7 linked regions of the Danio rerio genome follow. The protein of the gene in region 5 binds, or shares a complex with, the protein of the main gene of each other region. Links are inferred from orthologs where the notes say so. Each region holds a gene or a part of one and is shown on either strand. Other genes may lie near its edges. The genes, in order: rbm17, sf3b4, ddx42, sf3a1, sf3b1, dek and sf3b6.

The links.
Region 1: the proteins of sf3b1 (region 5) and rbm17 are in contact, whole or in part, in a crystal structure (PDB 2PEH), measured with the Homo sapiens proteins. The link is inferred for Danio rerio from reciprocal best matches to the Homo sapiens genes SF3B1 and RBM17. Residues at the interface, in NP_036565.2 of Homo sapiens: Arg334, Ser336, Arg337, Trp338, Asp339, Glu340, Thr341, Pro342; in NP_001139019.1 of Homo sapiens: Leu309, Met312, Val313, Asp319, Asp321, Leu322, Glu325, Thr326, Glu329, Leu372, Arg375, Tyr376, Phe377, Gly378, Gly379, Val382.
Region 2: sf3b1 (region 5) and sf3b4 share a complex: the UniProt entries of both Homo sapiens proteins name them as parts of the SF3B subcomplex of the 17S U2 SnRNP complex. The link is inferred for Danio rerio from reciprocal best matches to the Homo sapiens genes SF3B1 and SF3B4.
Region 3: the proteins of sf3b1 (region 5) and ddx42 are in contact, whole or in part, in a cryo-EM structure (PDB 7EVN), measured with the Homo sapiens proteins. The link is inferred for Danio rerio from reciprocal best matches to the Homo sapiens genes SF3B1 and DDX42. Residues at the interface, in NP_036565.2 of Homo sapiens: Pro509, Pro510, Lys513, Arg517, Thr520, Asp557, Arg558, Tyr561, Lys562, Asp565, Leu566, Arg568, Pro569, Ile583, Ala607, Ile610, Ser611, Arg614, Glu622, Arg625, Asn626, Arg630, Pro646, Phe647, Ala650, Val651, Lys653, Ser654, Lys655, Lys656; in NP_031398.2 of Homo sapiens: Asn68, Glu71, Glu72, Tyr75, Phe76, Glu77, Asp78, Glu79, Glu80, Glu81, Asp114, Pro115, Leu116, Glu117, Phe119, Met120, Val123, Ala127, Asp130, Met131, Arg133, Leu134, Gly146, Ile147, Arg148, Ile151, Glu152, Glu153, Glu154, Asp155.
Region 4: sf3b1 (region 5) and sf3a1 share a complex: the UniProt entries of both Homo sapiens proteins name them as parts of the 17S U2 SnRNP complex. The link is inferred for Danio rerio from reciprocal best matches to the Homo sapiens genes SF3B1 and SF3A1.
Region 6: sf3b1 (region 5) and dek share a complex: the UniProt entries of both Homo sapiens proteins name them as parts of the B-WICH complex. The link is inferred for Danio rerio from reciprocal best matches to the Homo sapiens genes SF3B1 and DEK.
Region 7: the proteins of sf3b1 (region 5) and sf3b6 are in contact, whole or in part, in a crystal structure (PDB 2F9J), measured with the Homo sapiens proteins. The link is inferred for Danio rerio from reciprocal best matches to the Homo sapiens genes SF3B1 and SF3B6. Residues at the interface, in NP_036565.2 of Homo sapiens: Trp388, Ile392, Arg395, Asn396, Arg397, Pro398, Leu399, Ser400, Asp401, Glu402, Glu403, Leu404, Asp405, Ala406, Met407, Phe408, Pro409, Glu410, Gly411, Tyr412, Lys413, Val414, Leu415; in NP_057131.1 of Homo sapiens: Arg12, Leu13, Pro14, Pro15, Glu16, Val17, Arg19, Ile20, Ala32, Met35, Tyr36, Arg46, Gln47, Ile48, Arg49, Val50, Gly51, Asn52, Thr53, Thr56, Thr59, Ala60, Tyr61, Val63, Glu65, Asp66, Ile67, Phe68, Tyr92, Ala97.

Annotation. Positions count from the first base shown.
Region 1 is NC_133179.1:26,166,219-26,170,724, forward strand, and holds the start of rbm17 (splicing factor 45), read right to left. Parts: upstream 3,057-4,506; 5' UTR 2,973-3,056; intron 2,644-2,972; 5' UTR 2,620-2,643; coding exon 2,497-2,619; intron 371-2,496; coding exon 254-370; intron 1-253. UniProt on the Homo sapiens protein: Splice factor that binds to the single-stranded 3'AG at the exon/intron border and promotes its utilization in the second catalytic step. Involved in the regulation of alternative splicing and the utilization of cryptic splice sites.
Region 2 is NC_133194.1:8,478,887-8,483,349, reverse strand, and holds the start of sf3b4 (splicing factor 3B subunit 4), read right to left. Parts: upstream 3,171-4,463; 5' UTR 3,143-3,170; coding exon 3,109-3,142; intron 2,769-3,108; coding exon 2,640-2,768; intron 959-2,639; coding exon 416-958; intron 1-415. UniProt on the Homo sapiens protein: Component of the 17S U2 SnRNP complex of the spliceosome, a large ribonucleoprotein complex that removes introns from transcribed pre-mRNAs.
Region 3 is NC_133178.1:30,673,579-30,677,471, forward strand, and holds part of ddx42 (ATP-dependent RNA helicase DDX42), read right to left. Parts: coding exon 3,769-3,893; intron 3,665-3,768; coding exon 3,565-3,664; intron 2,324-3,564; coding exon 2,276-2,323; intron 2,024-2,275; coding exon 1,926-2,023; intron 1,843-1,925; coding exon 1,566-1,842; intron 1,480-1,565; coding exon 1,253-1,479; intron 1,148-1,252; coding exon 1,037-1,147; intron 1-1,036. UniProt on the Homo sapiens protein: ATP-dependent RNA helicase that binds to partially double-stranded RNAs (dsRNAs) in order to unwind RNA secondary structures. Unwinding is promoted in the presence of single-strand binding proteins.
Region 4 is NC_133183.1:43,422,541-43,426,933, reverse strand, and holds the start of sf3a1 (splicing factor 3A subunit 1), read right to left. Parts: upstream 3,091-4,393; 5' UTR 3,073-3,090; exon of another isoform or gene 3,069-3,072; intron 2,949-3,068; 5' UTR 2,906-2,948; coding exon 2,858-2,905; intron 1,476-2,857; coding exon 1,366-1,475; intron 1,274-1,365; coding exon 1,081-1,273; intron 920-1,080; coding exon 662-919; intron 1-661. UniProt on the Homo sapiens protein: Component of the 17S U2 SnRNP complex of the spliceosome, a large ribonucleoprotein complex that removes introns from transcribed pre-mRNAs.
Region 5 is NC_133184.1:33,850,303-33,854,195, reverse strand, and holds part of sf3b1 (splicing factor 3B subunit 1), read left to right. Parts: intron 1-1,033; exon of another isoform or gene 1,034-1,091; intron 1,092-1,639; exon of another isoform or gene 1,640-1,694; intron 1,695-1,992; coding exon 1,993-2,072; intron 2,073-2,168; coding exon 2,169-2,354; intron 2,355-2,841; coding exon 2,842-3,091; intron 3,092-3,175; coding exon 3,176-3,388; intron 3,389-3,483; coding exon 3,484-3,605; intron 3,606-3,710; coding exon 3,711-3,893. UniProt on the Homo sapiens protein: Component of the 17S U2 SnRNP complex of the spliceosome, a large ribonucleoprotein complex that removes introns from transcribed pre-mRNAs.
Region 6 is NC_133191.1:45,446,510-45,449,872, reverse strand, and holds the end of dek (protein DEK), read right to left. Parts: intron 3,125-3,363; coding exon 3,013-3,124; intron 2,930-3,012; coding exon of another isoform or gene 2,918-2,929; coding exon 2,772-2,917; intron 2,003-2,771; coding exon 1,934-2,002; intron 1,849-1,933; coding exon 1,837-1,848; 3' UTR 758-1,836; downstream 1-757. UniProt on the Homo sapiens protein: Involved in chromatin organization.
Region 7 is NC_133195.1:38,722,101-38,726,436, reverse strand, and holds the start of sf3b6 (splicing factor 3B subunit 6), read right to left. Parts: upstream 3,139-4,336; 5' UTR 2,992-3,138; coding exon 2,962-2,991; intron 2,094-2,961; coding exon 1,975-2,093; intron 1-1,974.

The sequences.
Region 1 (4,506 bases), on a different chromosome or scaffold from region 5:
AGATTTCTTAGTGTTTAGTGCATTGCTGTTGTGGATCTTGATGTAAAAATTAATTACCAAATTAAAACCAGTGTGATTTAATTTATTTCATGTAATGCATTGATTACTGTCGTCATTATTAAATTCTGCTTAAATGCTTTCCCATAGTAATATTAGATTTTTTAAATAATTTTAATTAGTAGCAATCTTACTACTACTTATACTTATTTTTATATACTCTATTTTTCCTAAATAGGATCTAGACACGGTTTACCTTCATCCCTGCAGCAATGTGCGGAGGAGTATCAGAGATCTGTCTGTCATCCCCTCCACTTCCCCTCTTCAGATCAATAACTGGAGCAAGAACATTGGACTGTCTCGTCCTCTGGGTCTGCAAAACAAGTCATTTGTCAATAAAACTTTTCGGTTATAACACCTATTGGTTTCACTTGTCTTAATTAATCCTTGTGCAGAAATTAAAACAAAAAGTAAACATGTCATTAGATGACAAAACTATCAGTCAAATAAAATGCTAACTGTTCAAACATTTCATAAATCATAAATCAATTTCATGATTCCTTTTAAAATATATTTGTAACATTATAAGGTAAAAAAAAAACACAATACAAACATATCCACACGAATATAATCACATAATTGTAATTTCGTTTACTCAACAAAGCTGAAAGAGAAAGAAACAAATAAGGAAAAAAAGAAAGAAAGAAAGTAAGAAAGCTTCAAAGCTGAAAAATATGCCAAAATATGTGCAAAATACTATACATCTTAATTTTTTAAAATTATTTAATTAAATAGCAAAATATATTTTTAAATATATTTAAATAAATGTTTAGAATTTTGAAGTCAAAATATGAAACAAAGAATGTATGACATTTTGCTTAAATGTCAAAGGGATATAATTGTAAAGTTTAAATGAGTTTCAATGGGAACATTTTTGTGATTTATTTTGTCCTGTTTTATTTCACCTAGTTTAAAACAAATTTATAAAGAGAAATGTGAGTGGAATTTTGAACTTTAAAATTTTAAATGACACATTTTACCCAATTTGGTGCAGTTTGATTTGGAAATGAGAAAATGATAACAGTAAAATAAACAGACAAAAAAGATCATTAAGAAACAAGGATTTACAATTACATACACAACTGTATAGAGGTAAAGTTGGTTTCATACTCACTCGTTCAGTGATGACTTGTGACAAGGGGTGTAACGGATCCTTACGGATCACAACCCACAGTACGGTATGCACATGACCCACAGATTAATAACTTTTTTAAACTTGTAGGTTAATCCAATATTTATAACAATTGCAGAGAGATTGCCTCCCGTAACATTCAAATCACGTGTATGAAAGCATTTTGGGTTCCCTGTAAAATATAGTGATGACGGAACAAGTGGTGGGACTAAATGTTTTCTTAGGTTAGTGTTAGTTTCTTAAGAAGTGTTTTCTGTCACTATTTGTTTAGCCTGCATTAAAGCATTCAGTGTAAAGCTGCACAATTCAACATTAAAAGATCGTGACCTCAATTCAAACCCGCGCAACATGAATATTAAATGATAATGATCTGCATATGTTCATTAATCCTTCGAAGCGTTGCATTAAAATCTGTGTTTGATCAGATCAGAGAGAATCAGTTTTTACACTTTTTCAACTAGTTACAAACAATTTAATAACACAGAAGTGCTGGGAGAACAGTTTCTAGTACAGACATAAACACCGATGTTTCTGGTAAAGATTTAAATCACCATTCAATGGAACTTGGCACTGGTGAATGTTGTAGCAATTACATTGTGTAACGACAAACAACCATCAAAATTATGTCACTGAATATAGGGTTTCAAAAATGATGCACTTATAACCAAACATGAAGTTTTACATGTGAATTGTTGAATCATTAATTACCATACGTTGTAAATGCGATATGTTGTACAAGATGTTGATTTCTATATTTAGCATTATCAGATCATTTTATTAAATATTTTCCTTTTTTTCAGATATTTCTTTCTTGAATTGTATTTTTATTGCAATTACAGGTTCTAAGTTTAGTTTGATCCGTACCATAAGATTTATGATCCATTAACTACTTATGAGAATGCTCCTTATTTAGTTTACCATGGCACTTTAAATATTTGGTCTGGAATCACATGTAAGTATGATTCAAAAATAACATTAGCACCGCTTATTTGACTCTGAACGATGTTGTACTTTGATAGTCACTGGCTGCTAATATGATTTCACCATTTAGAATTAGCAAAGAATGCTTTTCTGAAATTATATTATTAAGAAAGTCTGAATGTGTGAATATAAAACCAACTTTCTCTCAATTCACAACTGTAAACAAAATCATTGACACAGACTAAAATACCTAAATAACTAACTAATTTCAAATTCCCTGATATATTCAGATTTAATGTAGTTGCAATTAATACATACATTTTTCATTTATTAATAAAAATATTTACTAATAAAACAGTTTTATCAAGAATTAAACATTGACCAACCTTTGCTTGTGTCAGTGCAGCTTTCTTCACTTTCAGTTGAGACTGAAGCAGTTTGAAGTTTTTAGACCATCCTTCTGTTTTTGCGTCGCTCGTTGCGACCCCCAAATCATCATATAAAGACATTTCTCCTCCTTTCCACTAAAAACACTGAAAATCATAATAATACATGCATCATAAACGTAATCCAAACAGTAATCAGCCAACCATGTTATAAAAGCTAGAACAGAAAATGCTAGATTATCACATAAACTATAGATTAGACATAAAAAACAGAAAACAAACATTTAACTTTAAATAAGCTATATAGGATTAATAATGGTCCTTATAATAAGTAATATGTATGAGCTACGTTTAGCATTCACATATAACGTAGACCGCTAGCAATATTTACTGCTTTTAATAAACAAATGGTTGCTGCCTCATCTTGTAACAGCGCATACACTTTAATAGTTGAATATTTGACATAAGATACACACCTTTCACGAAAATAAATCCTCTACAAGTTATGCACTCTTGGTTAGCGTAACATGCTACAATGGAGACGTCGCGAACATATGACGTCACACTACGCATAGCCAAAGGTATTCACGTCAGAATGGCAGCGATATCAAAGTATTTAAGATTTTCTAATAATGTTTCTTTACTTTAATGAGAGGAAAACAATTATGCCTAAACATTTTTTGGACGGAGTGTCTTTTTTTTATCAAAAAAAAAAAAAAAAAAAAAATTGTGCCAACAGACATGTCAGACGATTGTTACATAACTCTGTAGGCTATATACCTCCCCAAGATGTACAGTTTTCTAAATCAATTTTTCTGACTGCATTCAATGGAAGAGAGCATGGTTATTACTTGAAAAATTCTTAAAGTTTATATTTTTTCTTAATGATCGAGGCTTTGTAAAGTTTTTTTTTTCTTATTTCTCATTTCTTTTTTTGCTATTGTATTTTTTTCTTCAATGTTATTATTCTTGTATTCAATAAAAAATAAATAAATAAAAATAAAGATTTTCTAATAAATCTATTTCTTTCACTAGCAAATCTTTTCATACACAAGTGCAAATGTTTTTTCTTATTTTTTGTAAAGATTTGAAGTATTATTTGAATACAATCTCTACTTCCAGCAATGTTAAAGCTTTAAAATTAATAACACTATGTGAATCTTACAGTATTGTCTCTTTTCTATAATACCCAGCAGACTGTATTGTATGTGACCTTTTATACATCACTGTGACCTTGCTTTAAGATAGATTTTTGTTGTTTATATTACCCCTGGCAGAATCTTTTGTTTCTCTTTTTGTTTTGTTCTGTTGTCTATTTTTGTTGTTAAAGAATTGATACCTTTTCTGTATATTTTTGTATTCTTGTTGAATGTTCAATAAAAAAGATAATTAAATGCAAGAATGTGGATGCTGAAGGTTTGACTACCACATTACAAGATGTACTGATGTGAGATGTGAAATTATGAAAGATGGTTCTTTTTTACACAAATACTATATTATCATTGATAAATATTGTTATTATATTAGAAAACTATTATATTCATAAATGCAAATATTTCAAAACCCCTCCACTACTTTTGGTTTTTTAGAAGAACTAAACAATTTTTGGATGTCCTGGCTAAAATGAAAACAAAAACCGCCTTAAATGTTTTTAATTATTTATATTATTTAACTTGGTATAGATGATATCTGTACTATATTGTTGTTTTGTTCGTTCATTTGTTCATTTTTAGTTAGGATGATTTTTGTAAGTTTACACTCTTTGTATTTTATTTTTTTTTTTTGGTATATTCTTTTTTCTGGACCTAATATGGCGTTCTGGTGTTAAGCCTTCCGCATCTGATACATAATTTGTAGGGTTTAATGTAATTTTGTTGTATTTATATTTTGTATTTCCAATTACAAATAGAATAAAATAAAATGTATAGACGGTATCCAAGAAAGTCAATAATTTGATATGAAGAATAGATTTGCAGATAGTCTAAAACTATTCCCAAATTAAGTAAATAA
Region 2 (4,463 bases), on a different chromosome or scaffold from region 5:
TCCAATATCATACAGCCCTATCTTAAATCTTTTTATATATTTTTAATAGATTATTTAAAAACTATTAACATTTTTATGTATTTATGTATGTGCTACATCATCTTTGCATTAAATTACCACCTATGTGTGGCATTTGAAATGCAGCGTCTATAGGGCAGGACAGTAAATTTGATGTTGTTCTATTTTCTGTCTGTCGTTATCAGTCTCACATTATTTTCTTTTCTTTCTTGAAAGTCTTGATAACACCATAGTGAAGTTTTTCTTTTACTATTTCAGCAAACAGGATTGTGAATAAAAAATATTTGTTGTACTCTCCCATTCACTTCACTCTAAATTTATCCAACTCTGACGACTTTGAACCTGGAAATGTGAAAAACATTTGCAACATGTCATTAAGATGTTTCTCATCTCTAACCTGGAATAGGCATGGCTGCTCCGAGGGCAGTCATGACAGGCGTGGGCATGCTTGGAGGAGGTGGAGCATCTGCGAAAAGCTGATGTGGGCGATCGGCCTGGGACAGTGGATTCTGTGCGGCAAGGAGACGCTCGGCTGCTGACCCATGTCTTTCACCCTTTGAGTCTTTCTTAAACGCGTATGAAACAGTGATGGGCCGATTACACAGATACTGGCCATTCATAGCCTCGATAGCCGCATCTGACGCATCAAAACTGGCAAAGTTGATGAAGGCGTAACCCTTCGAGTTGCCCGTATCGGGGTCTCGCATGATCTTGGGGGTCTGAAGGATCACACCGAAAGCGCTGAATGTGTCATAAAGTAATTTCTCGTCGATCTCAGGGTCCAAGTTGCCAATGAAGATGTTGGCACCAACGTCGAGGTTCTTGTTGTGCGCTGAAGCTTTGTTGACTCGTATGGGCTTGCCGTAAAGTTTGATCATATTCATTATTTTTATGGCGTAGTCCGCATCTTCTTCGCTGAGAAACTCCACAAAGCCATAACCTGAAGAAGAGAGAGCGATACCAGTTTTTGAAGTGATCCTATTAGGTTGTTAAAAGTTCCTAATTTTGTTTTACATGCAGGGCTCAACAATAAGGACTGCCCGGTGGCCCGGGGCCAGCTTGAAAGGCGCTCGGGACAGTAGACAGGATTGTTACTGGCCCCTATCGCACGTTATTTTTTTCGTAACCTGGTCACAACAAGTACATCGAAAACATGGCAAAATGGCAGCAACATCAAACGATGAGGCTAAAAGAAAATGTCTGTTTCTAAAGTATTGGAAGCAGACAATACATGTGTACAAAATTAAGAAACTGGAGAGAGAAAAAAAAAAGGTTGTCAGTTTGGCAAGCCATTTTTATAAAAATAATTTAGAGTTGCAATAAAATACCAGCTTTTTTTTCCATACTGCTCTTTCGTTGGCATAAAATCTTGAATTTTGCTCATTATACATTTATTACCATTTTTGAAATGTTTAAATTCTATTATTATTTAAAATATGTGGCTAAGACATAACTATTAACTTTTTGTTGTTTTTGGTGGGGGCAGTGAAAATCTCAACCACTGGCCCGATCGGCCCAGTAGACAAAATCCTTGCCGTTGAACCCTGACATGCATTCAATGTTAAAATACACTTTAATTTCTTAATACAATACATAAGAATTACTCAAATATGATTTGAGTATTGAGTACTAATTTGACTACATTTACAATATTAGGCAATGTTGATTTATCAATCAATCAATCAAATTATTTATATAGCACATTTTTACAATCAGAAGGCTGCTCAAAGTGCTTTACAGTCTTAAAAACAAAAAATAAGTTAAATTTAATGTACACCGTCCCTTGTTGTGAAATATAATAAGATAAAAATCAATATCAATTCTCTGTAGGATAGATTTGATAACACACAGGCAGTTTTTGATTGAGGTAAAGAAGGTTTTACATTCGCAAATTTATTCATTTTAACGGTTACTATATAGTTTACCACACTACTTTCAATATTCAGTCTAAATTTGCATGCAAGTATTACACTACAAACAACATTACACTATTTAATTGTCTGTGAACAGTGTTGTAGTCATCGGCTGCTAATATGGTTTCACTGTTTAGAATTTAAATATAATATTTTTCTGAAATTATATAGTTAAGGAGAAAGTCAGAATGTGCAAATATAAAACCAATTATACCTCAATCAGTTTTTGTGGACTTCCAAGTCTGCAGCCTATGAATGCAAAAGTAAGTGTGCAGAATTGCAGTTGTAACAAACAAACACAAGATTTGGGTAAAAAAAAATTATACAATAAATAATAAAAAGTACAAATAAAAACAAAATCAGTACTTATAACTGGGGTTTTGTTCAACAATGTCAACAACACAAACAAACGTAAGATTGAGCAAAACTAGATATTTAGCAGCCACTGGCTGGTATTATGCAAACTTGTTAGGAACACAGTTCCTGTATTGTTTACCACGCTACTTTGAATATATGGTCTAAAATATAATGCAACTATTTCATTGTCTGTGAACAATATTGAACTTTGATAGTCTTTGACTGCTAATGTCATTTTCCTTCTTATAATTTGCAAAGAATACTTTTGCTAAATTATATTAAGAGGAAAGACCGAATGAGGGAGTATAAAAGCAACTTTACCCCAATGGATTTAAAGACGTGGTAACTCACCCTGGTGTTGTCCTGTTACTCTGTCTTTGGGCATGTGTGTGTTTACAACAGGACCAGCTTGAAGGAAAAGCTCCCACAAAAGAGGCTCAGAGACCTTCTCATCGAGACCACCCACATATACAGTGGCATCTGCAGATAAAAGATGATCAATATAAATGACAACACTGAACACAAACATAGTATTTTATTTAACGTTAGATGCATTATTTATATACAATTTATTAATTCCGATAATAATAAGCATATTGAAATATGCATGATTGTTTTGTTACACTTCATTAAAACCAAAACTCAAACGTTTCTTTGTTTTTATTTGTTAAGCCAACATGTTTGAATGAATGAAAATGAGCGATTTGACTGTATCATAGAACATAGGAAGAACTTAAGGTGTTCAATAATGCTGCAATCCATCACTTACCCCGAACACTACATAACAATTTCACTAAAAAGTTAAATTTATCAAATATACCTTGATTTCGTTCTGAAATCGGTCCCGCCGCCATGATGAACCCCGGCGTGTGTACAGACGGAAGCAGTTCTTTTTGCTGAAATCACCTCAACATCGTCTTGTCATCGCAGTGCTGCCGCCCACAGGAGAGGAAGATGAACATTGCCGATTTTGTGGATGTCAAATTATGATTTACTACGTCCTTTGTCTGTTTTTGTTCGGAAGTTACTTAATATGTCTTTTATGTTGTTAAAGGTCATAAAATGGAGCCACAGCTGTGCTAAGCCAGGACCCAGTCAGACTGTCTAATGGACAGATCTGTGGCGACGAAACAAACAGTAGGCTACCGCATGGTTTTTATCACATAAGTAACAATTAATTAAATATGCAAGTTAATATTATCACGAGCTGTATAAAGTACTCAAATGACCTACCATACTTAAGTGGAAGTAGAAATACACAAACTGCTTGTTCAAGCTGAAGCAACACAATTCTTGTGATTTGTGGGGGCAACTTAATTGTTTTATGTTTAAACCAATTAAATTTGTTGAGACAATGAACAAATTGTGTGGAATTTTTTACAGTGTACTAACAAAGTAAAAAAGTGAGGTAAAAAAGTACAAATTAAAGTTTTTAATTAATGGTTAAAAACAAATAAGACTTAAAATGGCACACAAGTGGATAGACTTTATAAGAATGTATTAAAAATAAATTTTGGGTGAGCTAAGTTACCTCAGTATACTTTTAGATTTGATGATGAAAGAAGTTTCTTTTAGATAAGTAATAACATACGCTGAAATGTGTGCTGTTAACATACAAACTTTTAAATTTATCAATAAGCTATATGCACAGCTAGTTTTTTTTAGCCAATGATAAACTTCTAGCGAAAGCTTTATAAAAGCTTTAATTTCATAAGGTTTCTTTTACAGCATCGATGTTGTAATATAATTACAATACATTCAGTTAAATATTTGGTTGGTAAAGCATAAAAACCGTTTAAATGCAGGCGCCGTCATTAGCAGCGAGTAAGCGCAAAAACTTTAAAAAAAATACTGAGGAAAAATTAATTTCCATATTTTAATGACATGGTGTGGAAAAATAGTCTATAAATTAATGCAGTGTTTTTATGCTAGGTCTGATACCCACTATATATCGCATCTCAGCCAGGCAGTGAAGATTGCTGTTATTTAAAGAAATCAGATCTTAAACGCTGCAATTTAGTTTGGGATGACAATTAACCGGAAGCAATGGGGCTGACTGACTGAAATTAAAAGTTTGTGTGCATATACCCCATTGTGTGTAAGATGGAGGAAAAAACAACAGTGAAGCAATTACTTTTCAAAGTGAAATAAAATGATAGGCATTATAAAATTAAT
Region 3 (3,893 bases), on a different chromosome or scaffold from region 5:
AAGTGCATTAATCAATAACGTTAAAATTGACATTAATTAAATCTTAATCTGTTGGCATTTCTGATATTGGTGATTTAGATTAAATGTGAGTAATGAAAACATTGCAAACATTGTAAACTAAGCTTGTTAAATTCAGATAATGTAGTGTAAAAATATTGTGAAACATTAATATCTGGTGCATTGTCCATTCATATAAAAAGCTTATCAGACATATAATATGGAGTAATATGAATAATGTATAGTTTTGTACATTATATTTATCTTTTAAAAAATAGCTTACATTAGCAAATAAAACACAAGGTAGGCCTGCTGGGCAAAACGGAATGTCCCTCAGACAGTTTCAGTAGCTGTCATTCATTCATTCGTTCTCACTTTACTCAAGGTCTTGATCTCTTTTTCGTCTCTTGTTTATCCTCATAGCATCCATGCGGGATAAAAGAACGGCATCTTAACTTCGTCTTTCGTATAACGGAATTTCCATTTAATGTATAGTAAATCAGACTCATTCAAAGTAGCGTCGCTGCACAAAAAAAAAAAAACATTATGAATGCATGATACACTTTTGACTGTATTGTGTTCTTTTTTTTTTTATAAAATGCAGAGTTTTGAGGTAAAGGAATATTTTCATTTGCCATTCACTGACAAGCTCATCCAGTTCATCAAACTACATGTTTTAAAATCGAAATCGGAAGCGGAGTAAAACAGTCTCGTCATAAAAGCCGGCTTATCAGCGTGCTGTTACACTGAAAACATATAATTCGATTCGCGCCTTCTGATTGGTTCTTGGGACAAAGCTGCTTTTGCTGTCAAATGCAAGTGGTGTTTAGAGGCTTTTGCCAACAAATTGTTATTTCTGAATGGGCTGACGCTGGGATTAAGATGATTTGAAACTAAAATACTTGTTGAATATGTACAGTGTGCCTAATGCATTCTCTCAATGTCATTAGCTCATTTTGGTTGAATTGGCGTTTAGCCGCTTTTGCACCTGAACTCTTCATATTTTTTCAAATAAAACCAAAATAAATCTCAAACTAACAGAGCATTCCGATCCAAGGCCAGGTCTCTCTCTATAGCCCAAGCCTCCACCTCCAATATTAATCTTCTTCCCTTTTCCTCCCTTAAAGCGAGATTTCCTGAACCAGGGATTCTACGAGGAAAAAAAACATTAAAAGCAAAGTTAAAAATGTATTCATTCAGCAATTATTTAAAAGCAAAATCAATGAAACATGCATTGTGAAAGGTGTTGAATTACCTGCATAGCCAGGTCTAACAGATCTTTTGAAACACTCTGATTGGCTCCCTCTAAATTACGAACCAGGTCACCGGCAAATGAAGTGTCTTTAGTGGTGAGCAATGTATAAGCTACACCTTTTTCTCCAGCACGACCTGTTCTACCAATTCGATGTGTATGTGTGTCAATGTCCCGGGCTACATCATAGTTGACAACAGTGCGAATAGATGGAATATCCAACCCACGAGCTATGAAGTAAAAAACAACAACTTTATTTTGGCAGTGACAACGAGAAACAGTTGAAGATTGATTGCAAAATATAAGTTCCACTAACCAGCAACATCGGTCGCCACCAATACAGGCAGATTCTTCTTTTTAAAGTCTGCTATGACTTTGTTCCTCTCACTCTGATCCATGTCTCCATGAAGCAGACCCAGGCTATATCCTTCCTGAATTAAATTTGTTGCCAGCTCCTCACAGTTAGCCTTTTTAGTAACAAACACCAGCACTGAGCCAGCGGATGTGAACTCCACCAGTCTGCGGGTCAGCCAACCCCATTTGTCCTGGCCAGACTGCAGCACCTCCACTATCTGAGTGATGTCTTCATTAGCCTGAGAGGATGAAATATATGGGTTAGGTGAACACCTACAAATATGCGGTACACAAATGTTTGTGCAAGAAATAAGGGGTGCACCTCTCCTATGTCTCCCTGCACCACACGAATGGGGTCGACCAAAATATCTCGTGCTAGTTTTTCGATTTTCTTCCGGAAAGTTGCACTGAATAACAGAGCTGTGGGAGATCAGTGGTCATAAAGATTTTTGTGTACATTAAAGCTAGTACAAAAAAGATAAGTCGAGGTAAAGTCAAAAATGAGCATTAAAGATGTAAAACACACTATAATATATGTGTGTGTGTGTGTGTGTGTGTGTGTGTGTGTGTGTGTGTGTGTGTGTGTATATATACAGGTTTAGCTATACTTGTGAGGGCCCATTTGTACTCATATAGTGAGACATTAAAATGACGAATGTGAAAAAGACTTACTTTGTCGATCAGGTCGAACATGGCTGGCAATGGATCTCACTTGGTATTCTGTTAAATACAAATAAAATGATACAATTATAAATTTCTTAGGGCAAAGGCATTTACAAAAAACTACATACACATAGTAAGTATTTTAGATGCACCTAACTTGTCTAGTACTTTGTCATTAAGAACAATATCTAGGTCAATATTATTTTAATACATACAAACCTATACTTATAAAAAATAAATATTAATGCTCATACTTAATGTAATTATATTTTACATTATTCAAAACTTGAGATTTATAGTATAGTGTTAATAAAGTATAATATTTAGGCCCAATGCCAATTCTACTTCTTAGCAATTCCCTTTAGCAAGTCCCAATTCTCTTTAGCGTAAAGGCATAGGGCTAAAGGAAAGGCTAGATAGCCCTTGAAACTTGTATTTTTCAGAACTCAAAACCACGGGGTATGAAAATTTCCCAGAATACAAAAAGCAATGCAGCACATGAAAGAAACGAGATGCACAAATTAGTATTTTTTGTCAGTATTAAGAATTTTTACAACAATTAAGCACATTTTAATAAATTCATAACGGTTTGTTGTGGTTTGCCATCATGCTTTATAAGAAAAACAATTAAAAATATATTTTTAGCGCAAAATATCTATATCAACAGAAATAGATTAAAATATCAATATTTAATCTATATAAAGTGGCTGGTAATGAGCTTTTTACAGTGTCTGGTATGATGTTAATGTACTTCTCGTATAGATTAATATGTTACGGTGTGAATACACAGTACAGTTACGATCTTATAATGTCTTCCACATTATATTGATTTGACAACATGATATCGTTGTCTTTTGTTATTTCCTAAAGATAAATACCAAAAAATAACACAAATGGAATAACTACGGCAGTCGTGATGATATATGATGACGTGTGCTGGTGTTGTAGTGCTGTCCCATTTTATAGGGGTAAAACTTGAAGCCCTTTCCCTTCACACTCCGTTTCAAGGGCCAAGGGGAAAGGGGTAAAAAATACAATGGGATTGGGCCTTCAAATAAACACCTTAATATGATATGAACCTAAAAACATCATTAAATAAATCTCATTTTAAATATGCCTGAAAATAAATTCTGGTATATAAACTATTGATACATTGAATAACAAATTACTGACTGTGTTCTGTAAATCATAACATGACAATGTTTTGGTTTAGGTGACCTATCATATAACAAAACTAACTTCTAAAATGACTGATACAATATTAAAGAGACAAAACAAATACTGCATTTCACACATACCAAAGCCCATATCAAACATGCGATCAGCTTCATCAAATACTAGAAAGGTCACTCGCTGCAGAGACGTAGCTTTCTTTTTTACATGATCGATCAGACGGCCCTATGCGAGAAATGTGAACATTAAAAACATTTGCTTAAACAAACCCCTTAATTAAACACAAGTGAATACAAATAGGGGTTTATTAAATTATTACAAATTCTTACTGGGGTGCAGACAACAATTTCAGCTCCTTCCTGTAGGGCTTTGGCTTGTTCCCACATGCTGCCACCTCCATATACTGCCACTGAGCGGAGGCCGTATGCTTTCCCGAAGCGCTTGCATTCAGCAT
Region 4 (4,393 bases), on a different chromosome or scaffold from region 5:
GAATAACCTGTATTTGTAACCTGTATTTTGCATTTGGGGGTTTCACATTTGCAATTGATTTTCAGGGAAAAAGTATTTGTTTGTGTGATATTACCGAACTACAATATATCTTAGGACTGGTCAATTAATCTAAAGTAAATCCCAAACATCATTTAGCAAAGCTACATTTGTCATGCACATATTGTCAGAAAAGCACAGCATGATCAGCAATAAATCTCCTCTAAATGCCAGAGGCTGCTCTTACAGAAACTAAAAGAAATCCAAAGAGTATTGTGTTAAAAAGGAAACTTTAACTGCTTTCGCTAATTCAGACTAATTAATAAAGACACAACTACAGATTCATCAAGTGTTGCAAGTTTTGTGTAGCTTTATAGTGAATTATGTGTGGCAAATGCTGCTCCAGCTGAATGTAGCTTACTTTACTTTTATTGCTTTATTGACAAAATGTGCATGGAAATCACCAATTTTTTCCCCAGCCCTAATGTATCTTCTAAATGCTTTCACAAATGGAATAATTGTTTTAATAATTTTTTTGCTAATTTATTGAGCTTGCATTTTTTTAAACATTAATCAAAAATATTATTAGAGGAAAAAATACTGAACATCTCTAATCTCTTTGCAAACCAATAAGCCCTCAGCATTTCTAAAAAGTATAATTTACCTTTGTATACTGCTCCACTAGTTTTGTGAAGTAGTTGAACAGACTGTGCTGTGGCCGGAGAAAGTCAAACTGGTAGTTCCTCTGTTCCTTCTGCATCAGCTGTGTGAGAAACTGACGGCCATTACGGGCAACAAACTGTGCGGTCAGTTTCACCACATCCAGGTCAAAGGCTGAGATGGAGGGAGGGTCAGCAATGAACTCAAACTCAGGTGGAGGCTCTTTTGGCACCACCGTCTCATGGATCACCTGTGCTTGGACCTAAATAATCACAAAACATAAGCTCTTTATAACATAGAAAGCTATTAAAATTTTTTATATCTGTCTGCTGGATTATGGCTTGATTTTAACTATTATAAAACTATCTGTCTACATCTATAATATTGATAATATTTATATAAAGCCACAGAGAAGTTGCTGACCTTCTGAGGAAGCTGCTGAGGATGCTGCATGACTTTAGGAACGGCTGCGGATGGTTCCTGAGCTTTGCCCTCCTTGAACTCATTGACCTTGTGTCGGTAGTAGGCATGGTATGGGTCGCTCGGGTTGAGGAAGTTGAACTTTGGGTTGTTGATCTCATTCTGTCGAATTCTGGCCTCAAACTCGGGTCCATTCCTTTGACAAAATAAATGGAATTAATTATTGATTTAATAAAAGTACACAAATGAAATACTGCACTACATGATATATGTGGTAGGATGTCAAACCTGGCTACGAAGCTGGCAGTCTTGTCAACGATGTTTCGCACTTCAGGAGGAGGGTAGATGATTCCCACTATGGGCTTTGTGGCTGGAGTTTCTTCTTTCGGTTCTTCGGGCTGTTGATTAAAACATCTCATAGCTTATTTAATATGAGCAAAATAATACAGAAAACACAAACAAAAATCACAGAATACAGTCATAAATATGGAATTAATTATACAATGTCATTAAATGTTACAAGCTTTGAATTAATACATTAAAACTAATCATGTCCTTAAAATGAAGTTGTGATGTGTACTATTGTGTGAGAATTTTAAGACCACTAAAATATAAGTTAAATACAAAGTCTATATTTATGAGGCGTGTTTCTGAATGAATGCCACAGTTTCATTTACTACACAAATATTGAAGCATGGGTGATGCTTGTGGTGTCAATCTCAGAAACTTTACCATGTTATGTGAGAATACCATATCAGATAAACAGAAAAAAATCAAGCGAATTGGATTTACTGCAGCCAAAAGTGTTTCTATTGTACAACAGAATACACTTCTCACTGTAAATGGTCCTTAAAATTATTACTTTTTATTATAATTGCACAACTGTCCTTTCTCATTTCACAACATCAATAAAACAGAATCTGATAATAAACTGAAATTTATATTACAAACTAATTAGTTTTTACAATAAATATCAATAAATTTACATTCAATTCAAACACCCCTAATTTTTAAATATTATTTGTATATAGAATTTGCATATTCATTTTTAATTTAAGAATCAAAACAATATATGTATATTTATAAACTAACAAGTAATTTGTGTATTTATATTTTTTTCATTATAAAGAAAAATAAGAATAATTATTCAATTAACATCTGAAGAATATTTTGATGACATTAGAAAAACATTTAAAGATCACATTGCAGCCCCCAAAATAAGCAAATGAAATATTTCAAATTTAACTATCTATTATCCAAATTTTTACTTAAAGAAAAAACAATAAAATGCAGAAGGATCATTTACTTATTTTAATAAGTACATGTAAGTTTACTTTTGTTGTTGTTGTCATTTTTTACAAAAGTATATATATTTTTAGATCTTAATTTTTATTAACCTTTTTTTCTAAACAATAAAGTAGACACTACTACGTTATCTTTTAAAATGGTTGTCTTTGACCACATCGATTTTGGGAAATAAAACAGTACATTTACATAATATATATTTTTATATTATATTATATTTATACTAATAATAAAACAACATTATGCTGGGAATATATACAACAATGACTGCTACAAAAGATAACAAAACAGATAACATATACATTAAAGTTTAACTTTAAACAAGTAATGCTTCTACTCAAAACAATAAATTATAAAATTGCAATAATGCCCAGTATTATACTTATGAAAGACGAAAAATGTAAGCAGATGAATATAAATCGGATAAACCTACCCATCGTGTCTATGAAAGTAATAAATTCTGAAAGCTTCATACCTTGTTATTCAGCTCCGGCTGCATGATCTGCACAGGCCCAGGCGGCATGACTGCGACACTACTGGCTCTTCTCGGACCGATTCAAACGTTACTGTGTAAAATGAAAGATTATTTGAAGCTAAAGACTCAACCGTTATAAAATAATGAACACTGAAAGTCGCAAGAATGGCTAAAGTTATACAAATTATGAAGGCAGTTTTACATAACTCACTTACCTCTCGTTAGCCAGCAGCCACACACACAACACAAAACGGACAACCAATGAAATTCTTCTTCTTCTTATGGGGTTAATGGCGGTTGGCAGACCAACTTAAATGGTGCATTTCCGCCACCTACTGGATAGGAGTGTGGAGCGCATAATGTTGGAAAAAGCATGAGTACTAAAGATATATGATACGAATGGAGGGATGAGATTACCATAGGGAAGAGAGAACAGTAATAACAGTAGGAGGAGAGGAGAGAAAGAAAGAAAAAAAATACTAGTTAAAAATCATAGTAAATTTTATTTCCTTATTTTGCTAAGCTATTCTTAAATTCTATTAATCAATTTTGTTTCCTTTAAGTAATTAATTAATTGCATTATTATTTCAACTTGATTTGAACTGTTTCCTAATAGGGTCTGAAATGACAAATTTTTAATCCCATAAATACTTAATCCTTGAACTAACTGATATCTCTGATTGTCATATGCCACACATTCTGTAATTACATGTTCTAATGTTTCTATTTTCCCGCATTTATCACAACATCCTGTCTCGTGCTTCCCTATTCTGAACTTATACTGGTTTAGCAAACAATGACCAGCACGCAACCTAGTTATTACCACATCATTCCTTCTATTACTAAACTTATTTCTAGTACCACCCACACATCCTTGAATATTATGCATATGTCTGCCTTTTTCTCCATTATCCCACTCCCTTTGCCACATTCTACCTGTTTCTTTTGCAATTATGTTTTTTACCTCTGACTTACTTATTTTTATTTTTATTTCTATCTGAGTATGTTGTAATGCTTCCTTTGCAAGTTGGTCTGCCTCTTCATTACCTACTACTCCCATATGACCAGGAATCCACAAGAAGCTTACAAAAAGTCCACCCTGTCTGATTCTGAATAAATTTTGCATTATCTCATTCATTATGTCCTGTCTTGCCTTAGATGTTCCAGTAATTAAGTTGTTTAGTACTGACAGAGAATCGGAGCATATTACTGATCTTAATGGTTTCACGTCTTCTATCCACTGAAGAGCAAGAAGTATAGCTACAATTTCTGTAGTGTACACAGAAAGTCGGTCCGTTATTCTTTTTGATATTTTAATATTGAATTTTGGGATGTAAACTACTACTGCCGTTTTTTCATCTTTAGGATCTTTTGACCCATCTGTATATATCTGTAAATAATTGAAATATGACTGATTTATGTATTGTTGTATTTCTTTTTCATTTAACATATTATTTTTGTGTTTTTCCTCATGTAGTAATAAATCGACTACTGGTTTATGGAAAAGCCAAGGCGGAATCGCAGAGGTTGGCACAG
Region 5 (3,893 bases):
TTGAGTTCTTTGTTCTTCAATTTCATTTAAGCAATATCAGGGCCTTAAAGGGATAGTTCACGCCAAAATGAAAACTTTCTTACTATTTACTCACCCTCAAGAGGTTTCAAAGATTTTTTTTCTCTAGAACACACAAGATGATATTTTGAAGAAAGCTGAGAATCTGTAACCATTGACTTCCATAGTTGGAAAAACAAACACTATGTAAGTCAAGGGTTGCAGGTTTCTAATGTTTTTCAAAATAAAGGTTTGAAACAAGTCATTCAAAACATAATTTTTGGGTGAAATATCCCTTTTAAGACTGTCTCAGTAAGGCATAAGTGGATAAATGAAATGTACTGAAAAATATTGATGATGGATTTATATGTGTACTTGTTTAAGTTGGGCAGCAAAGATTTTGGGAGACGGTTGGGTGGTGTCATTGGTCCCATCATGGCATAGGTTGCAGGTAGGTGTGTTGTTCGAAGGGTTAATGTTTTTAATGTGTGAAACAGATGATACAGTAGTCAGGCAACTTAAACACAGACACTGTGTAGTATATGAAAAGTTTCTAATTGCCAGAGACAGCATACTGTCAGATTTATTTTTCCCCCCATACTATTGCCTGCATATTTTTCAATGGTTAGACACCCCTGATGTGTCAATGTCAGTAATGATTCCCAATAAGAGTGGAGCTTTAAAGCCCTGTGAAGCCAAATTTAACTCCATTTATGTTGTCCAGATAATTTAGTATCTTAAAACCGATGGCCTGTGGGTGCTCATACCAGTACAATTTTACAAGAAGTTTAGATCATGTTTAAACAGGCTGCACACTCACAAAACTGACTCACTTGGGACCAAATTATGGGAGGGCAATAATTCTGGATCAGGCAAATCATCTTGCATGTAGTCCCAGACAGAGGAAGCTTTACAAAAACTGTTGTGTAAATATATTTCTATTTTATAATGATAAAATAGAGATATATCTATTGAAGAATCTGTGTACCAAGATTCCACAGGCCCATACTAACTGTCCTTAATTTCTCTCCTACAGCAGTACTGCTATGCCAGTCCTGTCTGCACTCTCTTAAGGGTGCAGCAACTCGTCCTGTGTAGGTTATGGTCAACAAAAAGAAGCGTGTTTATCAGATAAATCAAGACCATAGTTAGTAGTTTTTGCTCTGATGTGAGGCCAGAGAGCCTTTCGGGGGAATGCACCATGATTTCATCAAGCTATTTTATTGATTTAGTTTTACTTTTGTTATGTTTCACATTATTTTTAAAGCCTCATCGGGGACTTTTTTTAAATTCCATATTCACTTTTTTCATTTCAACTTACTTTTAGACAAATTCATCTTAGTTTAAATTTTATTTAATCTAACCAGATGCACACAAGTGTGCTTTAAGTCATTGATTAGTTTCTGATATTTTGTTTCTTTTCTGATTTGATTAGAACTCCCCAATGTGTTCAGTGTCTTTGACTGTAACACCTATAGTTTATTAAATGTATATGATTTTTAAGTCGGTTTTTGAATACTACATGGTTTTCCCCTTTTCTTGTTTGTAAATGAGTGACGAGCAGAATAGGTGGTATGCTATTTTGTGTGTGAGTACAAACCCTTTTCCAAAGTGTTACTAATGGTAAAGAGAAATTTTCTAGGCTTCTTTTCTGCCGGTTGAAGTCTGACTGCAGAGGGACCCTTGGCACTGAAAGTGTACGTATTCTGGAGAGCACAGCCCAGGACCCTGCATCAGTGATGGCTATATCCTCTCCTTATCTCCTCTTAAAAGCAACAGAAACCTCTTTGTACCTGCCTGTTCTTAATGTTTGACTGTAATGAGTGCTTAGCTTTTATTGCATAGGGTTCTTTTGTGTTATGAGAGGACAGTAATTTAAACATTAAAGGCCATCTATTCAGGGACACTTGACTGTAGTGCTTTGTGTGTGAAAATGCTGGTTTTGAGATGCACTTGGCTGACCGTTTCGCATCTTGTTGGTGCTCTTTCGCCTAGGGGGTAAAACACCGGATCCCAAGGTGCAGGTCAGGACGTACATGGATGTTATGAAGGAGCAGCAACTTTCCAAAGAAGAGGTAAGTTCTAGCACTTTGGTGAAATGTCTGTAAGATGCTACTGAAAAAAAAAAGTCACAAGTGTCTTAAACTGTCACTGTTTCTCTTGGTTTACAGAGAGAGATCAGACTACAGATGGTAGAGAAAGCAAAAGCTGGAGAGCTGAAAGCAGTGAATGGCTCCGCTGCATCTCAGGCCGCGGCCAAACGTAAACGTCGCTGGGACCAGACTGCTGATCAAACCCCCAGCAACTCAACACCCAAAAAAGTGTCCAGTTGGGACCAAGCAGACGGAGGTTCTGAAGTGAGTCGATAACAACATTTGGTCTGCAGCAAATGGATATTTTGATTGTTCAGATTTTCATGAAAAATAATTACAAATTCATACAAAGACAGATTTTATGTATCTGATCTGCTTGGAAGACTATGAAAAAGTCAATATTTAAGTAGATGCTGATATACAAAAAAGTAAATGTGTAAATATCCTATAATACAAAAAAAAAACTATTGCTTTTTATTTGTGTAGTATAATTCGAAATTATAGTATAATTCAAAAAGTTGTTTAGGAAAAGTCTTGAGGACCCTACGGGACCCATGTTCTCCAGTGAGGAAAACTATTGTTTAGGGGTGAATTTCTCTAGTAAAGTAATGATCAGGCCCCTTTGGATGTTTGTAGAATCCCCCTAATTTGTCTGTGTCCTCCTGATTAAGAGCCATGGATTAGAAATAAAGCATTACAATGCCACTTAAGAATTTTTATAATGCTGTGAGATTTTTATTTTGTTACTTAGACACCAGGACACACACCAGGGCACACACCCTCCAACAGTCGTTGGGATGAGACCCCTGGCCGTCCCAAAGGTAGTGAAACCCCAGGAGCCACTCCTAGCACTCGTATGTGGGAACCCACACCTAGCCACACCCCAGCAGGAGCTGCCACACCAGGCCGAGACACACCTGGACATGCTACGCCAGGCCATGGAGGGGCCACTTCCAGTGTGCGCAAGAACCGCTGGGATGAGACACCAAAGACAGAGAGAGGTCTTTAATAGTTTTTTTTTGTCTAGTTTGATGTGTAATCTGCAAATAGAGTGGTTTTTAAACCCTTTGTTTTGTCCGTTTCAGAAACACCTGGTCATGGCAGTGGCTGGGCTGAAACCCCACGTACAGACAGAGGAGACGAGTCGGTGGGTGAGACGCCCACTCCAGGTGCAAGCAAGAGGAAGTCAAGATGGGATGAAACACCAGCCAGCCAAATGGGCTCTTCAACTCCCCTGCTCACCCCTGGAAAAACCCCTCTGGGTACACCTGCTATGAATATGGCCACGCCCACTCCAGGTACATGACCAGTGCTGTTGTTTAGCTTAGTTTAGTTTGTAATTTAAATAATTGTTGTTTTGTGGAAGTTGCTTTAAAGGTTTAAATGTTTGCAGGTCACCTGATGAGCATGACTCCAGAACAGCTGCAGGCTTGGCGGTGGGAGCGGGAGATTGATGAAAGGAACCGTCCATTGACTGATGAGGAACTTGATGCAATGTTTCCAGAGGGATACAAAGTATGTGTTATAAAAGTATCATATTATGAAAATCTACAGAGCACATTTGAACTGGATGTACTGAAATTGTGTGTCTGACTGGATTTATTTTGTGTGCTCCGCTAGGTTCTGCCCCCTCCAGCAGGCTATGTGCCCATCCGTACCCCTGCACGTAAATTAGCTGCTACTCCAACCCCTATTGGAGGCATGACTGGCTTCCATATGCAAACAGAAGACCGATCGATGAAACAAGTTAACGACCAGCCATCCGGAAACCTGCCCTTCCTCAAGCCAGATGACATTCAGTAC
Region 6 (3,363 bases), on a different chromosome or scaffold from region 5:
AGTTCCTCAAGCAATTTGTAACTTACAAATGATCAAACAACAATTAGACAAGTTGAAAATCTATGGATATAATTTATTCAAATTTTAAGATCAATTAAATTAAATGACACAAATGTATTAAATGGAATAAGAGATGCAAGTCATAAGTTTGATAGTGATAGCATTATAAAAGGCAGTTAATGTAAATTAAACGTTTAGATAGAACATGTATTTTGTGTAGTGAAAAGGATATTTTGTGATTGTTTATTGTACACAAATGAAAATATGCTGAAATGTTTGAAAAAGTGCACTTTTGATGAAATAAGTACTAAGAGCTGATGTACCAATTGATTCTAATAAATGCACCACACCCCTCAAAAAACCTGTACAAAATGTACTTATTGGAAAAAAAATTATACTAAGACAGCTGGACATTAAAGGTGCAGGTAAAATCTAACGCTAAACACTTAAAGAATGTAGAATTTTTGTTCTGCATCATAAAATTAAGACTAAATTGTGGAAGCGTGACTTAATTAGTTTAAAAATCTTTTAAATATAAGCTATCGTTATAAAATGCTTTTCTAAGTAAAATCAAGATGTGTTTGTCTTCCCACAATGAGTGTTGTTTATATGGTACTTGTTTTTAAAAGTCATTATGTCAAAATTATAGCTAAAAACCTGTAGTAAAAATATCACAAATACACCTTAAGTGGCAAAAACAAACACAGCCATCCAGGTAAAACAACATCAAGAACAAAAATACAGACAGCTTATATATTATGAAAAATCTATTTATTACAAAATAAACACGTTTTCATTTCTGTTTTGATGTTTTTGTGACAGACTATCATTGAGTATTATGACTGATAATAATTGATAACTGGTTACTGAGGTCAGTGTTTACAACAGATCAAATCTGGTCTTACTATGGGACCTAAACTACATTTCTGACCTGCTGATATGAATGTGTAACATCACAGAATTATGATTTGTTTGCTTCGTATGACTTGATTTAAGACACAAGCAAGTAAAATACACTTAAAGAGCATATTTACAAAGAAAAAAAAAACTTAAAGCTTTTTGCTTTTAACACATTAGCATTAAAATACCAAATTCTTCTATTATGCCACGAGTGTCCAAACTCAGTCCTGGAGATCCGGTGTCCTGCAGAGTTTAGCGCCAACCCTAATCAAACACACCTGAAGCAGATAATCAAGCTCTTACTGGATATGCTAAAAACTTCCTGTCAGATGTGTTGAAGCATGTTGGAGCTAAAATCTGCAGGACATCGACCCTTCAGGAATGAGTTTGGACACTACTATTATGCAAAGCACTGAGATGTAAACCAACACTGCACAACATAAGATGTTGAAACCAAAAACCAGACAGATTTAATCTAAATTACCTTGTTTTTGCAATCGACATTCAAACCTTCAAAACTGAAACCAGCGTTAATAATGGATAAAATCAATCCATAAAATGAACACTTTCTAAAACATGCCTGCAGTATCTTAGCATCAACAAATTCATGCTAATCATACTGCAGGCTTTTCTAGCACAAACAAACTGTGAATTTCTGGTCAAAATAAAATATGGTTAAGTTTGTATGGCCACGTGCCATATAAATTATGAAACTAAAATTACTTTAAAAATGTGGCATATTTCAACAACCAAAATCCACATCATTTGCTGTCAATTGTCAAAACTCTAACTTTAAAAGACTCTTTAAAATACAAAAAAGCTGAACTTGTATAAAATAAACATAAAACTACAGAACAGTGAACAGTGCAATGAATATTCATCCACCAACTTCACTCTAGTCGACTTTTTTAAATAAGGCATTTTCTTCTCATCACTTCAGGATATCATCTGAAAAGCAAGAACATTAGCCATGTTAAAACTGACTATTATACAAATGAATATTAAAATAAATGAGCATTTTGAATGCACTTACATTTTTAACAGTCTCACGAATAAATTCCTTTCTGCTGCTCAGATCGAAGTCAGGATACTTGTCATAAACCTACAACAAAGAGAAAGTTTATAAATCATAACAGCATTTGAAAAGACTTCAACTTGTCAAACTTTAACGAAATATCATCTATATCCTGTGATGACTATAGATGACAGTGATAAACAGACTAAATGCATGCAATAAATTAGTCCTCTAATTCAGTGGTTCCAAAAGTGGAGGTCGGGACAACCTGGGGTCAGACGCGGGACAATATAGGTGGGGTCGCTTGGAAATTCACAAAAATCGAATTCATTTTATTAAACTATTAGAACTACTATATTTTATCCATAACTAGCTGAAGAACAAAATAGTAGTTTATAGTACCATTGTTAGCATGGTAATAATAACCATTAAAAACAACATGAAAATAAAAAGCCATAAGCCTTTCAATATTTTTTGTAATCCTTGTGGTGATTATTGTTATATTATAGACATAGGAATAGCGTCAGATGCAACACATTGATTTCACGTGCAATCACGTACATTATAAAAATAAATAAATGACACAACTTAACATGGAGGATGGTCTTGGGGTGGCGCTCTCCAAAATTAAACGACGAATAGACTTGGGCATATTGGTTGTGTGCACCATTGTGTGCTGGTTTTATATATGTAAAACCACCTCAGAGAATACTGGGGGTTGCAAGCCACTGGAATTGTTATTTTAGGGGTCGTGGGCTGAAAAGTTTGGGAACCCCTGGTCTAGTTAGTTAAACTGCAATACAGATCATAACCCTTTAAAGTAAGCTTCTGTCCCAATAAAGGTGAAATAACATACTTGTCGGGTTATCTGCTTCATTGTAACCTCCTCCAGGTTTGCGTCTTTCAGGAGGTCTTTTACGTTCTCCTTCAACTGCTCATCTGTTGGTGGTTTTTTGATCATTTTGATCAAAGGTTGATCGTCATCAGAGCTTTCGCTTTCATCTAGAAGCAGAACTACAGCATATTAATCTCTACACACTGCAAAACACAATATTTACCATTTCTATTAAACATTTATAATATGACCGCATTAATACCTTTTCTCTTGCTTGCAGTCTTTTTCTTTCGGTTGCTGCTGCTGTCTGCTTTCTTAGTTTTCGGGACAGGCTTTGCTGGAGCTTTTCTCTTTGCTGCAGGCTTCTTTTTTGTCTAGGAATATTGAGATGAAAATTGTTAGTTTAAATGCAATTTCTGCTGAAAGGATTTTTGTATTGTCGGATCTGTGGCTGCAGTTATAAAGTTGTACTCGTTTCTTACAGTGCCATAAATGTAATAGTTTTGAATTCTTTCAAAACTGTAACAATTTGCTTTCATATGGCTCGTTTTCACTGACTGGTACTGTACGGTAAGATTCGGGTCGGAATGGATCACCTTTATCAGGCTTGCGT
Region 7 (4,336 bases), on a different chromosome or scaffold from region 5:
TAATATTAGAATTTCAAAAAGTATTCTTTGCCAATTCTGAATAGGGAAGTCATTTTAGCGGCCAAAGACTAACAAAAGACAACATGGTTCACAGTCAATCAAATAGTGCTGACGTTGTTTTGAAGTCATACTTGCATGCTATTTCTGCCCAAATATTCAAAGTAGAGTGGTAAAAAATATAGAGACCATATCACAAGTTTTCACTGAATGATCGCGTGAATATCAAAACTAGAGCTGCGCGATATTTGGAAAAAAAAAACTGACATTGCAATATTTTTATTCACTGCTATATATATATATATACAATTTCAGCAGACGACTAGCTTGTAAAGATTAGGATGATTCTGCAGGGGAGTGTATCTGTATAAAGTATTATATTAAAATGACTAGCATAGTTAAATACAATGGACAAAAGATGCAAATAAACAAAGATTTATAATTTTATGGGCAGTCAAACAGTATTCAGTAATCAATCTATAATAATCATAATAATAATAATGATCATAATAATAATAGCATTGTGTCATTTAATTGCATACAAATGAATAATTAACCTTTAAGCTACAAACGTTTAATTTATTGTGCCCAAATGTTTAGGTTTGTTTGAAATTATTACAGTTAGGTCTTAAAATCACTGGCAAATAATAATGAATCCACTAGGCTTCGGATGACAACTATTTTCAAGTTATACCGCAGTTTGGAAAAGTCAAGGTTTTAAAACCGCCAAATTTTTCTGTAATACCATTTTTTTTTTTTTTTTTGTTTTGAAAACAGTAGAAGTCAATGATTCATTTGAATTATTTAGCCTGATGTTTACTTTTCCAAAAGAATTTAAATCTCTCAAAATAAAATCTATTGTGTTCAAAGGGGAAAAAAGTTTTTGTTTTTTTACCCAGACATTTAAAAAGAATATTTTAGAGCAGTAATCACAATATCATGATACAGTGATATTTTTATTCAAGGTTATCATACCATCAGAATCTTATACTGGCCCATACCTAGACTCCACTATGTTGTTAACTGTAATGTCTTGTCAACTATAATCTCGACTACATTGCAGATCCCTGTGATGTGATTGTGGACACACACATTGCGATATAGATGCTGAAACGATATATTGTGCCCTAATCAAAATCTAATTCACTTCAATTGATTTCCCTATTAACAATTTGCAGAGTAGTTTTCTGTACTTATATTCAGAAAGAGGAGAAAGTCAGAAAGTGCAAATATAAAACTTTACCACAATGATAAAACGTATACAGTGTTTCCTCTAGGTTTTTTCCACCTGTGGCAGCATGCCTTTTTTTTACACAGATAACCTGTGGCATTATTTCAATGACAAACGTCGTGAGTGCAGTATTAGAAGTCGAGATTGCATTTATGTGATAGCCTACAGCATACGAATCTCATTGCTTGTGCACTGATTTCCTCTGCTCGTGCACAAAACTTCTTAAACGCCCTTCAAATATAAGCCGCATCAAGAGCTTGCAGATCTTCTTGTGCACTTTCAAATAAATGCTGCTGAAGAGCGATTTATTGAGTTTATGTAACGAGTATATCTCCAGCATTTATTAGACTTGCTAGGAATATTTATGAATGTGTCCAATAGACCTACAGAGCCGTATTAATGCGTCCTGAAGTAAAGTGAAACAGCTATACGTCGTGTTTGCTGGCCTCACGCACCTGTCAGTCAGTCAGCCTGTAACCTTGAAGGGTTAAACAAATGACGCACATCACTACTACGGTTACAGAAATGTTCACGCTGTTATAATTAACTTACCCTTTAATAAGTTTTGGTGTGATTATCACCCGCTATTAAAAAAATAAAATGTTTTGAATGAGAAGCGGTAATGTAGCCTTGGCAGGATGAATTTTGGCATGACGCCCCGCCATGGAAGAATGAATGTAGCGGAAACCATGGCATAAACCCTTTGTGTGAAAGTATGTTAATGCAAGAAACAGACTGATACTCACACTCTGATTTGACGAATAGGCCCATACTTTCCAAAAATGTCATACATCTCCTCTGCAGTGATCTTGTAAGGAAGGTTACGGATATATAATATCCGGTTCACCTCAGGAGGTAAACGAATCTGAAAAGATGCCAACAAAGAACAGTGTTGAGACAGACCAGGATTTCTGTAGGTTTCTTCAAGTGTAATTTAAAACTTTAAGACCTTTAAGATTGATTTTTTTTTACTTTTACAGGGTTAAACACTAAGAATTATTTTCTAATGACCCAGATACTTCTGTAAATAGTTTATCTGTTAATAATTAAAGATCATGTAAAAGAATGTTTTGCTTCAGTTCTCTTTCCCAGATTAGGGAATTTAATTTAGAGAATTTGCTGTAAAATGTCTGCTGTTGTGAATTGCACCTCTTTGCAGTAAAAAAATAATAAAAAAATAAAAATATAAAACCAAAAGTTGACATGGTAATTTGGTGTTGAATTAATTGGGTAGATCTTTTTATTATTTAAGACCTACAACAAAATATTTCAGTGAATTTATGACTTTTTAACGCAAAACGTAAAATTTTTACTTTTGAAATTTACGACATTTAAAGACCCTGCGGATACCCTGCAGACAAACGTAAATACACGTTTTCTTATTGTTAATTCACAAAGATTTAAGATTTTGAACACCCTCGTGGCTTTAAAAAAACATTTAAGAATGAAAGAGATTTCGTGAATGAATATATGTACACAATTGGGTACGTTTTGATCACGTTTGTACACCCAGCGAACGTATTACACGATATATTACATATCGGGGAATACATTTTACCATATATTATAACATTAACATTTAATATTACATTAACAACTTATCTTAGCTATTCACATTTATAATAGAAAAACAACAAACAGCGATCTTGTATGTCGGGATTAGCCGTCGAAGGGCTAACTTAACACTGTCAACAATACGAACATTTGAACGATTAAAACAAAATTGAACTTACATTCGCTCGTTTAGCCGCTTGCATCGCCATGGCTGGATTTATTTAAAGGAAACTTTTCGAGAAAAACTCTCTTACTGTGGAAATAAAAAGCAAGCTAGCACAAGCTCAAAATCTACGCACTTTGGATCGTTTGACGGCGCAGTGTGATGACGTCTTTCCGGGAAATCCAATGGCCATGTTCCTTTGAGATGACGTCAAGCTCATATTTTTTTATTCTATGCTTAATAAAATTCAAAATTGACAAGTAAACTGTACCATCTTGATGTTTTTTGCCTTAATTTTGATTGAATTGTATTCTACTGGCTGTTCTTTATTTATCTATTCTCTTCTTGTAATTATATGGATTGTTCATATGAAAAAAAAAATAAATAAGAAATAAAAACCATTAATGATTTAAAAATCATTTATGATGGTGGATTTGTTCCCATGATTGGCCATTTATTAAATGATTTTCATGATTTATGTAACGATTTCTAATTATTCTTTGGCCAAATTTCACATTAAACCCTATAAATTCAATTATTAACAGTTTAGTTTTTAAATTCCATATATTCATATTCAACGTACAGCAAAAATTCATTAAAACCTGTAATGAAGGTTAATATATGTTTTAATTATTATACTTAATAATACTTTAATTATTATACTTTTATATTATACTTACCAATGCTTACCTTGTTTACCTTACAATAAGTAAAAAAACTTATCAGGAAAAAAATCCATTAAACACTTTGGTGTAATAAGAACTACGTTACATTATAGGAACCATTTTTGGGAAATATTTAGTTGAACTGTAATTTGTGTGTTTGTTTGTTTTTATTATTTAATAATTTATCTTTGTCACATTTAGAGGGTGGGTTTTTGACATATACTGAAGTGAGCCACCAGGTGGCGATCAATGATTGGACATTAAAACTTTACGAGTTCAGCTCTCTGCTGCCATCTAACTGAAGACTTTTGTTATGAATGATATAGGGCATTCCAGTTGTGCAGTTCATTGGCGTTTTTTGCCAGTTATTTTCTAGGGCTAGACTAGAAAATTGATAAATATTAATTAAAAAGTTGATTAAATGCTTGAAGTGTTGATTAATTAAAAAGTTGATTAATGCTTGGAGTATGGATAGAAATATTCAACACATATAAAGAAAATTACAGTTAAACAGCAGAGGTAGATTCAGGAGCATAGTTATCCAGTATGAGACAAAATATTTAACAATACTCCAGTCTACAGACTGGTCAAAAACTTACAACTCAGGATTTATGGCAGCAAAAACAACATGATTTATGAGAATGACGAAAACTGGAGATTTTAGTAGATTACAGAGATCACGATTTTTACAGTTTTACAGATTTCAGTTGCAAAATAATAATAATG